2 linked regions of the Macaca mulatta genome follow. The protein of the gene in region 1 interacts with the protein of each later gene in a biochemical or structural test. Links are inferred from orthologs where the notes say so. Each region holds a gene or a part of one and is shown in the gene's direction. Other genes may lie near its edges.

Region 1 (3,512 bases):
CGGAGCTTGCAGTGAGCTGAGATCCGGCCACTGCACTCCAGTCTGGGCGACAAAGCGAGACTCTGTCTCAACAAAAAAAAAAAAAAAAGAAAATGCAGAAATCACCGGTCTTCTGTGTCGCTCGTGCTGGGAGTTGGAGACTGGAGCTGTTCCTATTCGGCCATCTTGCTCCAAGAGTGTTTTCTTTTGGGGAATACTAAGGAGCCCCTGGGAGGAATGACCACAGCGGAAGCAAGCCCTGTAGTTACAGGCATTAATTCAGTAGATACACAGGGAGTGGCGAGTGTGTACCAGACACTGTTCTAATGGACAGAACATACCCAAGTCTTTTTGCCTTTATGAGTTTATATTCTAGTGCAGGGGTGTTCAATCTTTTGGCTTCCCTGGGCCACATAGGAAGAAAACGACTGTCTTAGGCCGCACATAAAAAACAGTAACACTAATGATAGCTGATGAGCTAAAACAAAAATTGCAAACAAAACTCATAATGTTTTAAGCTTTATGAATTTGTGTTGGGTCGCATTCAAAGCTGTTGTGAGCCACATGTGGGCTGCAGGTGGGACAAGCTTGTTCTAGTGGGTAGAGACACATAATAGATGGAATAAACAGTGAATGTATGTAGGTGTTAAGAAGGGAAACAGGAAATAGCTAGGTGTTTAGAATAGGGAAGTTGGGGTCTGGCTCATGAAAAGATCCCTTGCAGTGGTGGTCTCAGCCACTTGCAGTACAACTAGGCCTTCCTGCTTAGAACTCACACTTCGGTCATCACTCTGACTATTTCCTGGTCTACATTCTTGATTTTTTTGTTGTTGTTGAGACGGAGTCTCACTCTGTTGCCCAGGCTGGAGTACAGTGGAGTGATCTTGGCTCACTGCAACCTCTGCCTCCTGGGTTCAAGTGATTCTCCTGCCTCAGCCTCTGAGTAGCTGGGATTACAGGTGCCTGCCACCACGCCCAACTAATTTCTGTATTTTTAGTAGAGATAGAGTTTCACTGTGTTGGCCAGTCTGGTCTCGAACTCCTGACTTCAGGTGATCTGCCCGCCTCGGCCTTCTAAAGTGCTGAGATTATAGGTGTGAGCTACTGCGCTCAGTCCCTTGAAGATTTTTTATGATTTCCTCCTCTATGCTATTTATTTTCAACCATTCATGTACCCTTTTGAAGCTTGTTTATTTTAGGGATCTGCTGTGTACCAGCATATATGCCTGCCATTTTATTGAATTCCTTTCCAGTCCTTTCAGTAACCCTCTGCAATGGGTATTACCATCCCCGTTTTACAGTGGTAGAAACTCAGTCTTTAACTCATCAGGATTCAAACCCACATCTGACTCCAAAGCCTCCTCTGCCCTTTCTTCTCTTCCCCAGTGCTTTTTTCACTCACTAGGTCACCAAAGTGCTTATTCTTAGACACTTGTAAAAGGACATTTTCTGTTGATTATGAACCTCTAACTTTGTTTTAAAAGTGTGCCACGTCCCAAGGGTCTTATGTATTTATTTATTTTCCTAGAGTAAACCTGGGCTTTTGTTTTCTTCCCTTTAGATGCTCTGCTTCTGTACTGCCAGTGGATGTGCAGACACTAAACGCATCTGGGCCACCGTTTGGAAAACTAGTGGTTCAGAGTTCCATAGATTCTAGTGCATTCAAGCACAATGGCACGGTTGAATGTAAGGCTTACAACGATGTGGGCAAGACTTCTGCCTATTTTAACTTTGCATTTAAAGGTAACAACAAAGGTATATTTCTTTTTAATCCAATTTAAGGGGATGTTTAGGCTCTGTCTACCATATCAATCATGATTTTAAGTTCATTCCAACATTGACCATGTCATTTCTGGTAATACGTACATCACACCATACTGTCATCAAACTCGCTATGTTTCATTTTGTACTAGCTTGTTAAGTATATGTTTTTACCAGAGCACTTTTAACCATGCTACTTTATATATTTTATATGTATGTGCGCCTCTTTTATATTAGTTGTATATTTACAATTGTCTCCATTAAAAAGGGGTAGAGAAAGCAAATGGGGGGGAATATATTTACCTTACACCCAAACAGAATTAGAACAATCTAACATTTAAATTCAATTAAAAATTTCAATTATTTAAAGTGAATTATTTTAACACTTTGCCAGACACTGTATCCAAAAGTTAACACTGCCTTTATGAAGTCATGTTAGCAAGTTATTTCTTTAAAATATTTAAAATTTGATTCATGTGTGACTAACTCTCTTAACATAAGTTAAAAGTTCCTTGTGGGCAAATTGCTGAATTGGTACAAAGTGGGAAGACAAAGAAAGTGGGCACTTACTTTTTAGGCCTTCTTGGGTTTTGTTTGTTTTTTGTGTTTTTTTTGTTTGTTTTGTTTGTTTGTTTGTTTGTTTTTTTGAGTCAGCAAAGACTAGTGCCAAAAAGTGGCGTATTTTCTCAGGTTTTGAGTAATGAGGGGAAGAATCTTCCATTGTTCTACATCATCGATTTTTCAGACGGGGCAACGAAAAGCATACCTTAAAAATGGTGTTTTTTTTTTGTTGTGAAAGACATTCATGCTCAGTGTAGAAAATTTAGAAAATACAGGAAAGTGTAAAGAAGAAAATATAAACCATCCATAAAGGAAGCTTCTTTTTAAAAGTTGTACAAGGCAGGGATTTGATTGAAGTACAAAGTGCATTCAGATGTTGCTTTTCATTGAAAAACAGCATAAATTATTCCTTTTCTACAGAAATCTCAACTTCTATTCTGCAGTATTCTGGTTTCAAGTTATATTTTTAAAGATTCATTTGAATAACAAGAGTACGATGTAACCAAGGTGAAGCTCTGAGAGTCACATAGCTTTGCTTCCTGCCATGGGCTGTGAGTTGGGAGGTCAGTTTGGGAATGAGTGGCTGTGGTAGAGATCCCATCCTGCCAAAGTTTGTGATTCCACATTTCTGTTTGATTTTAGAGCAAATCCATCCCCACACCCTGTTCACTCCTTTGCTGATTGGTTTTGTAATCGTAGCTGGCATGATGTGCATTATTGTGATGATTCTCACCTACAAATATTTACAGGTAACCATTTATTTGTTCTCTCTCCAGAGTGCTCTAATGACTCCGACAATAATTCTTAAAAGGTGATCCATTTTCCCCTTTCTCCCCACAGAAACCCATGTATGAAGTACAGTGGAAGGTTGTTGAGGAGATAAATGGAAACAATTACGTTTACATAGACCCAACACAACTTCCTTATGATCACAAATGGGAGTTTCCCAGAAACAGGCTGAGTTTTGGTCAGTATGAAACAGGGGCTTTCCATGTCACCTTTTTGGGTACACATAACAATGACTTTAAGGAACTCCAGTAGCTTCCTTTGTTTTGTTCCACCTGAAACAATGAGTTTTCTGTGAAATTGCACCCCTTTTGATAGGTTTGGCATAGAGAACATTGTAGGAAAATGTCTCTAGACAAAATTGTTTTTAATTCCTTTATTGATTTTGAAACTACATAAATGATCCTTCAATTCCACCACCAGCA
Region 2 (3,965 bases), on another chromosome or scaffold:
ATCAATCTTCCTGATTGGCTGTGTGAGGATAGGGCGGGGTCTGTTTTTGTTGCTTACCCCAGTATGCCCAGCACCAAACATGGGGCTGGCATATGGTAGGTACTGAACAGAGAGTTGAATAAATTAATGAGTGAATTGTCTACTCTGCCTTTGCACAAGCTGCTCCATCACCCAAGAGACCTTGCCTCCTCCCCCACTTCTTTGCTGGGCACATTCATACCGGTTTTCCTAGGAAAACTCTGGAGAAAATTGAGGCAGGAGTCACTCCTCTGTGCCCCCCCCATGGTGGACCTCTTATCACCCTAAGGATTGTTTGTTTTCCTGTCACCCGCATCAAGCTGGGTGGTGGCCACAGCCTTTGATTTCTGCCTCCCAACCCTTCTCCCAAGTACCCTGTTTGCCCAGTGCTGAACTAGAGAGCTAAAGTGATCCCTGAGAGAACTAAATCGATCCCTCAGGCCGGGTGCGGTGGCACACACCTGTAATCCTAACACTTTGGGAGGCCGAGGTGGGCAGATTACACGAGGTCAGGAGTTCGAGACCAACGTGGCCAACGTGGAGAAACCCCGATTTACTAAAAATACAAAAATTAGCTGGGTGTGTGGCCTGTAATCCCAGCTACTCGGGAGGCCGAGGCAGGAGAATCTTTTGAACCCAGGAGGCGGAGTTTGCAGTAAGCCGAGATGGCGCCACTGCACTCCAGCTTGGGTGACAGAGCAGGACTCTGTCTCAAAAAAATAAAGTGATCCCTCTAAGAGGAATCTCCAGGGGCCCAGGCCAGAGCTTTCTCTGGGTCACCATGGCTTCTCCCACTGTGCCACCCAGCCTAAGCCCCTCGATTTTAAAGGGGAAGCCAAGACTCTGGACTTTGCTCAGAAGGTGGGGGGCGGGAGAGGGGCTTACCCTGGGTGCCTCTGAGGGGCCAGGGCACAGCCACCATGGTATGGGTGCCTGCAGATCGACGGGCAGGCCATGTTGCTGGACACCCCCGTGGCTGGCGTCCCTCCTTGGCAGGGTGCTCTTTGCCCCATGGGGTGGGATCCAGAGCTGCAGAAGTGCCCCCTGGCTTGGCCAATGAACAGACCAGGTTCAGGGAGGATGTTTGGGAGGAGTGGACCGGTGGTTCCCTTTACCTTGCAGCCCTCAGACCCTCCCCCCGCCCTCCCAGGTGGTCGGGACTCTTGATCTTCGCTGTTGGTGCTGTCTGTTCGGCTGTCTTCCCCGCCTCTTCCTAGGCACCTGCACCCTCTCTTGGCACCTGCTGCCAGGCTAGGAAGGGCAAAAACAATCCCAGTTGGCGTAGAGTGTCAGGGAGTCCCCACCCTCCTCCCAGGCTTCCTCCTCCCAGGCGCCTCCCCTGGACACGCCCCCATCTGCCCAAGATAATTTTAGTTTCCTTGGGCCTGGAATCTGGACACACAGGGCTCCCCCGGCCCTGACTTCTCTGTCCGAAGTCGGGACACCCTCCTACCACCTGTAGAGAAGCGGGAGTGGATCTGAAATAAAATCCAGGAATCTGGGGTTTCCTAGACGGAGCCAGACTTCGGAACGGGTGTCCTGCTACTCCTGCTGGGGCTCCTCCAGGTAAGGGGACAGAGATCGGTCTCAGACAACAGCCTGCCAGGCAACCCCCAGCCGCACCAGGGCCCCAGGCTGTGCCCGTCTCCGGCCGAACTGGCCGTCGGCCCAGGTGGGCGGATTGGAGCCACCTGGCTCTCCCCCTCCCCCGCTCGGTGATGTCAGGCCCGGGGCGGGGGCTGGAGGGGGACAGGTACTTAAGGGCCTGGCGTCTCCCTCCCTGAAGACGTGGTCCCAGCCGGGTGTCCTGATGTTCGGGGTTCAGGTAAGAACCCAAGCGGGCATTCATCCTTTGGGGGCAGGCACGGCCGGTCTGGGGGCCGGTAGGGAAAGGCTGGGTCTCCTGCTGGGTTGCTCGGCCTCCCACTTTTCTCTTTTCCTCCCATCTCCCACCCCGCCCCCTCCTCCCCACCCGCCCTCTTTCGTCCCCATCCTGGTTTCCAGCCCTCCTTGTTCCCTCCCGGTACACCTCCCCGAAGCCAGCAGCGAGAATGGGAAGGAAGACCTGATTCTCTCCTCCGACTTGGCTTTCCCGCTGAAACTGGCCCCTCCCCGCACACCCTGGGAGAGCCGCCCTCACTCCCTGGCTCGCCCAGTTTACCCCAGTTTGGGTTTCCCCAAGTCTCTAAGACAGACGTCTCCGCGGGCTGCGGGGAGATGTGGGGAGGGCCCCCTCCACTTTGGAGGACGGTGAAGGAGAGGGATCCTCTAAATTGTTGAGGCTCCATCTCTCCAGACTGTATGCCCTGCTCAGCAACATCGCCTCCGGCCCTCGGGTGGGAAAGTGGAGGCCGGGTGAGCCGGGGTCCCTCCTGGCTTCAGCATGAAGTGGCCAGGAAGGCTAGAGGGGTGGGTGAGGGGCTCTGCAGTGCGGTGGGGCCTGGGGAGAGTGGGGTAGGGGATGGCAGATGGTTTCCTCTGCTTGATGAGGCTAAGGAGAGACCCAGGTACCCGGTCTGGGTCTCCCTGGCAGATTGAGGACAGAGAATGCACCTGCCGGCAAGGTGGAACCCCCCCTCGCCGCCCCGCTCCAGCCTCACTGCCCACCAGGAATGCTCCCTTTTGGTCCGCCGGTCTTGGACTCTGCTCTCTCCTGATATCCTGCTGTGTGCGGGGTGGGGGGACCTCATGGAAGCAGGCAGCCTGTAATGATTAACCGCACAGACACTCCAGCATTCTTCCCGAATTAAACTTTAAAAGAGCTGCCCCGCCTTCTCTCATTGGGTATTTTTCCTGAGTGAGAGTGGGCGGGGCCTCAGAGTCCTGGGTCCTCCCTTCTACTAGGAGTCATCCAGGGGTTTCTCACCTTCTCACCTGGGCCCTGCACCCTAAAAGGTTATAAGCCTGTCCCGTGGGGGCGGGGCGTGGAGTACTGGGCGGACAGGGACGCTCCCGCCACATCCAGGCCCCTGGCCCAGGCCTCAGTCCCGCAAGCCCTTCCCCCTACTCTGGGAAGTAGAGTTGTTTTCTGTTGGCCCTGAACACCGGGCCCCGCCACCCGCCCTTAGGGCCAGCCAGGTGGGGCGTGATTCAGGAAGTAAACAAGGAGGTTGGGAGGACGGGAACGCGGGTGGGGCTGGAGCCACTGGGGGAGGAGGCAGCTGGGAAGACACCGCCGGAGTTACCTCGTTGAGGGGACAAACTGATTTTGGGGGTCGGTTTTTCCAACCGAAACTTTCCCGGTGCCTCAGTTTCAAAACTCCAGATCTCTAAGCTGCCAGGCCTACAGCCAGGAGCCCTTCCCCTCCCTGCTCGCCTCTTTGGTCTTGAGGATTCCACCCGCCTCCAGCCTTAGAAGGGGCTGAAGGGCCCGGGTGGGGGGATCTGAAGGCAAACCCCAGCCTTAGGCTGGCCCTCTCTGATCTCTGAGGCCAGGCTGTAATGTGATTCAAATCCACTTCTAACCCCTTCCAATCGCTGCCCTCCTGAATTCTCTGCTCCTCTCCCCATCCCACTGTTGGCCCCCTGCAACCTGGAATGAAGTCACCAGGGCTGTTTGGAGACCGGGGCTGTTTGGAGGGTAGACTGGGGTGGGAGTGGGGGATCGTGTTCTGATATTGAGGTGCTGGTGTCTCTTGCTAGCGGGTGGCGGGTATATCTTGCCCCTCCTGGCCAGACCCTGGGCCCCCTCCCTGGCCCTTCATCCTGTCTGTCTTTTTGAGTGTTTTCCCTTTCTGCTCCTGCTCCTGTGGTACCCCTCTGGCCAGGACACCCAGGAGAATGTGTCGGGAGGAACCTCATCCACACGGGGCGGGGGCTCTGAGCGATGCTTTGGGTGGGGAGGGGCACCGCTGGGACACTGGCTTCTCTCCAAATGGGCCTCTGAATCCAGGCCGGGCATTGCCTCTCTCTTTCCCAGGTGAGGGACTCCCTGGCAAGGCGGTGGT

What was found. The genes of interacting proteins can lie anywhere in the genome.
Region 2: the proteins of KIT (region 1) and GRB7 form a complex in vitro, tested with the Homo sapiens proteins (3 studies listed by BioGRID and IntAct, with this or other methods). The link is inferred for Macaca mulatta from reciprocal best matches to the Homo sapiens genes KIT and GRB7.

Annotation. Positions count from the first base shown.
Region 1 is NC_133410.1:78,765,776-78,769,287, reverse strand, and holds part of KIT (mast/stem cell growth factor receptor Kit), read left to right. Parts: intron 1-1,540; coding exon 1,541-1,734; intron 1,735-2,943; coding exon 2,944-3,050; intron 3,051-3,141; coding exon 3,142-3,268; intron 3,269-3,512. UniProt on the Homo sapiens protein: Tyrosine-protein kinase that acts as a cell-surface receptor for the cytokine KITLG/SCF and plays an essential role in the regulation of cell survival and proliferation, hematopoiesis, stem cell maintenance, gametogenesis, mast cell development, migration and function, and in melanogenesis.
Region 2 is NC_133421.1:64,090,953-64,094,917, forward strand, and holds the start of GRB7 (growth factor receptor-bound protein 7), read left to right. Parts: upstream 1-1,153; 5' UTR 1,154-1,584; intron 1,585-1,802; exon of another isoform or gene 1,803-1,843; intron 1,844-2,022; exon of another isoform or gene 2,023-2,373; intron 2,374-3,965. UniProt on the Homo sapiens protein: Adapter protein that interacts with the cytoplasmic domain of numerous receptor kinases and modulates down-stream signaling. Promotes activation of down-stream protein kinases, including STAT3, AKT1, MAPK1 and/or MAPK3. Promotes activation of HRAS.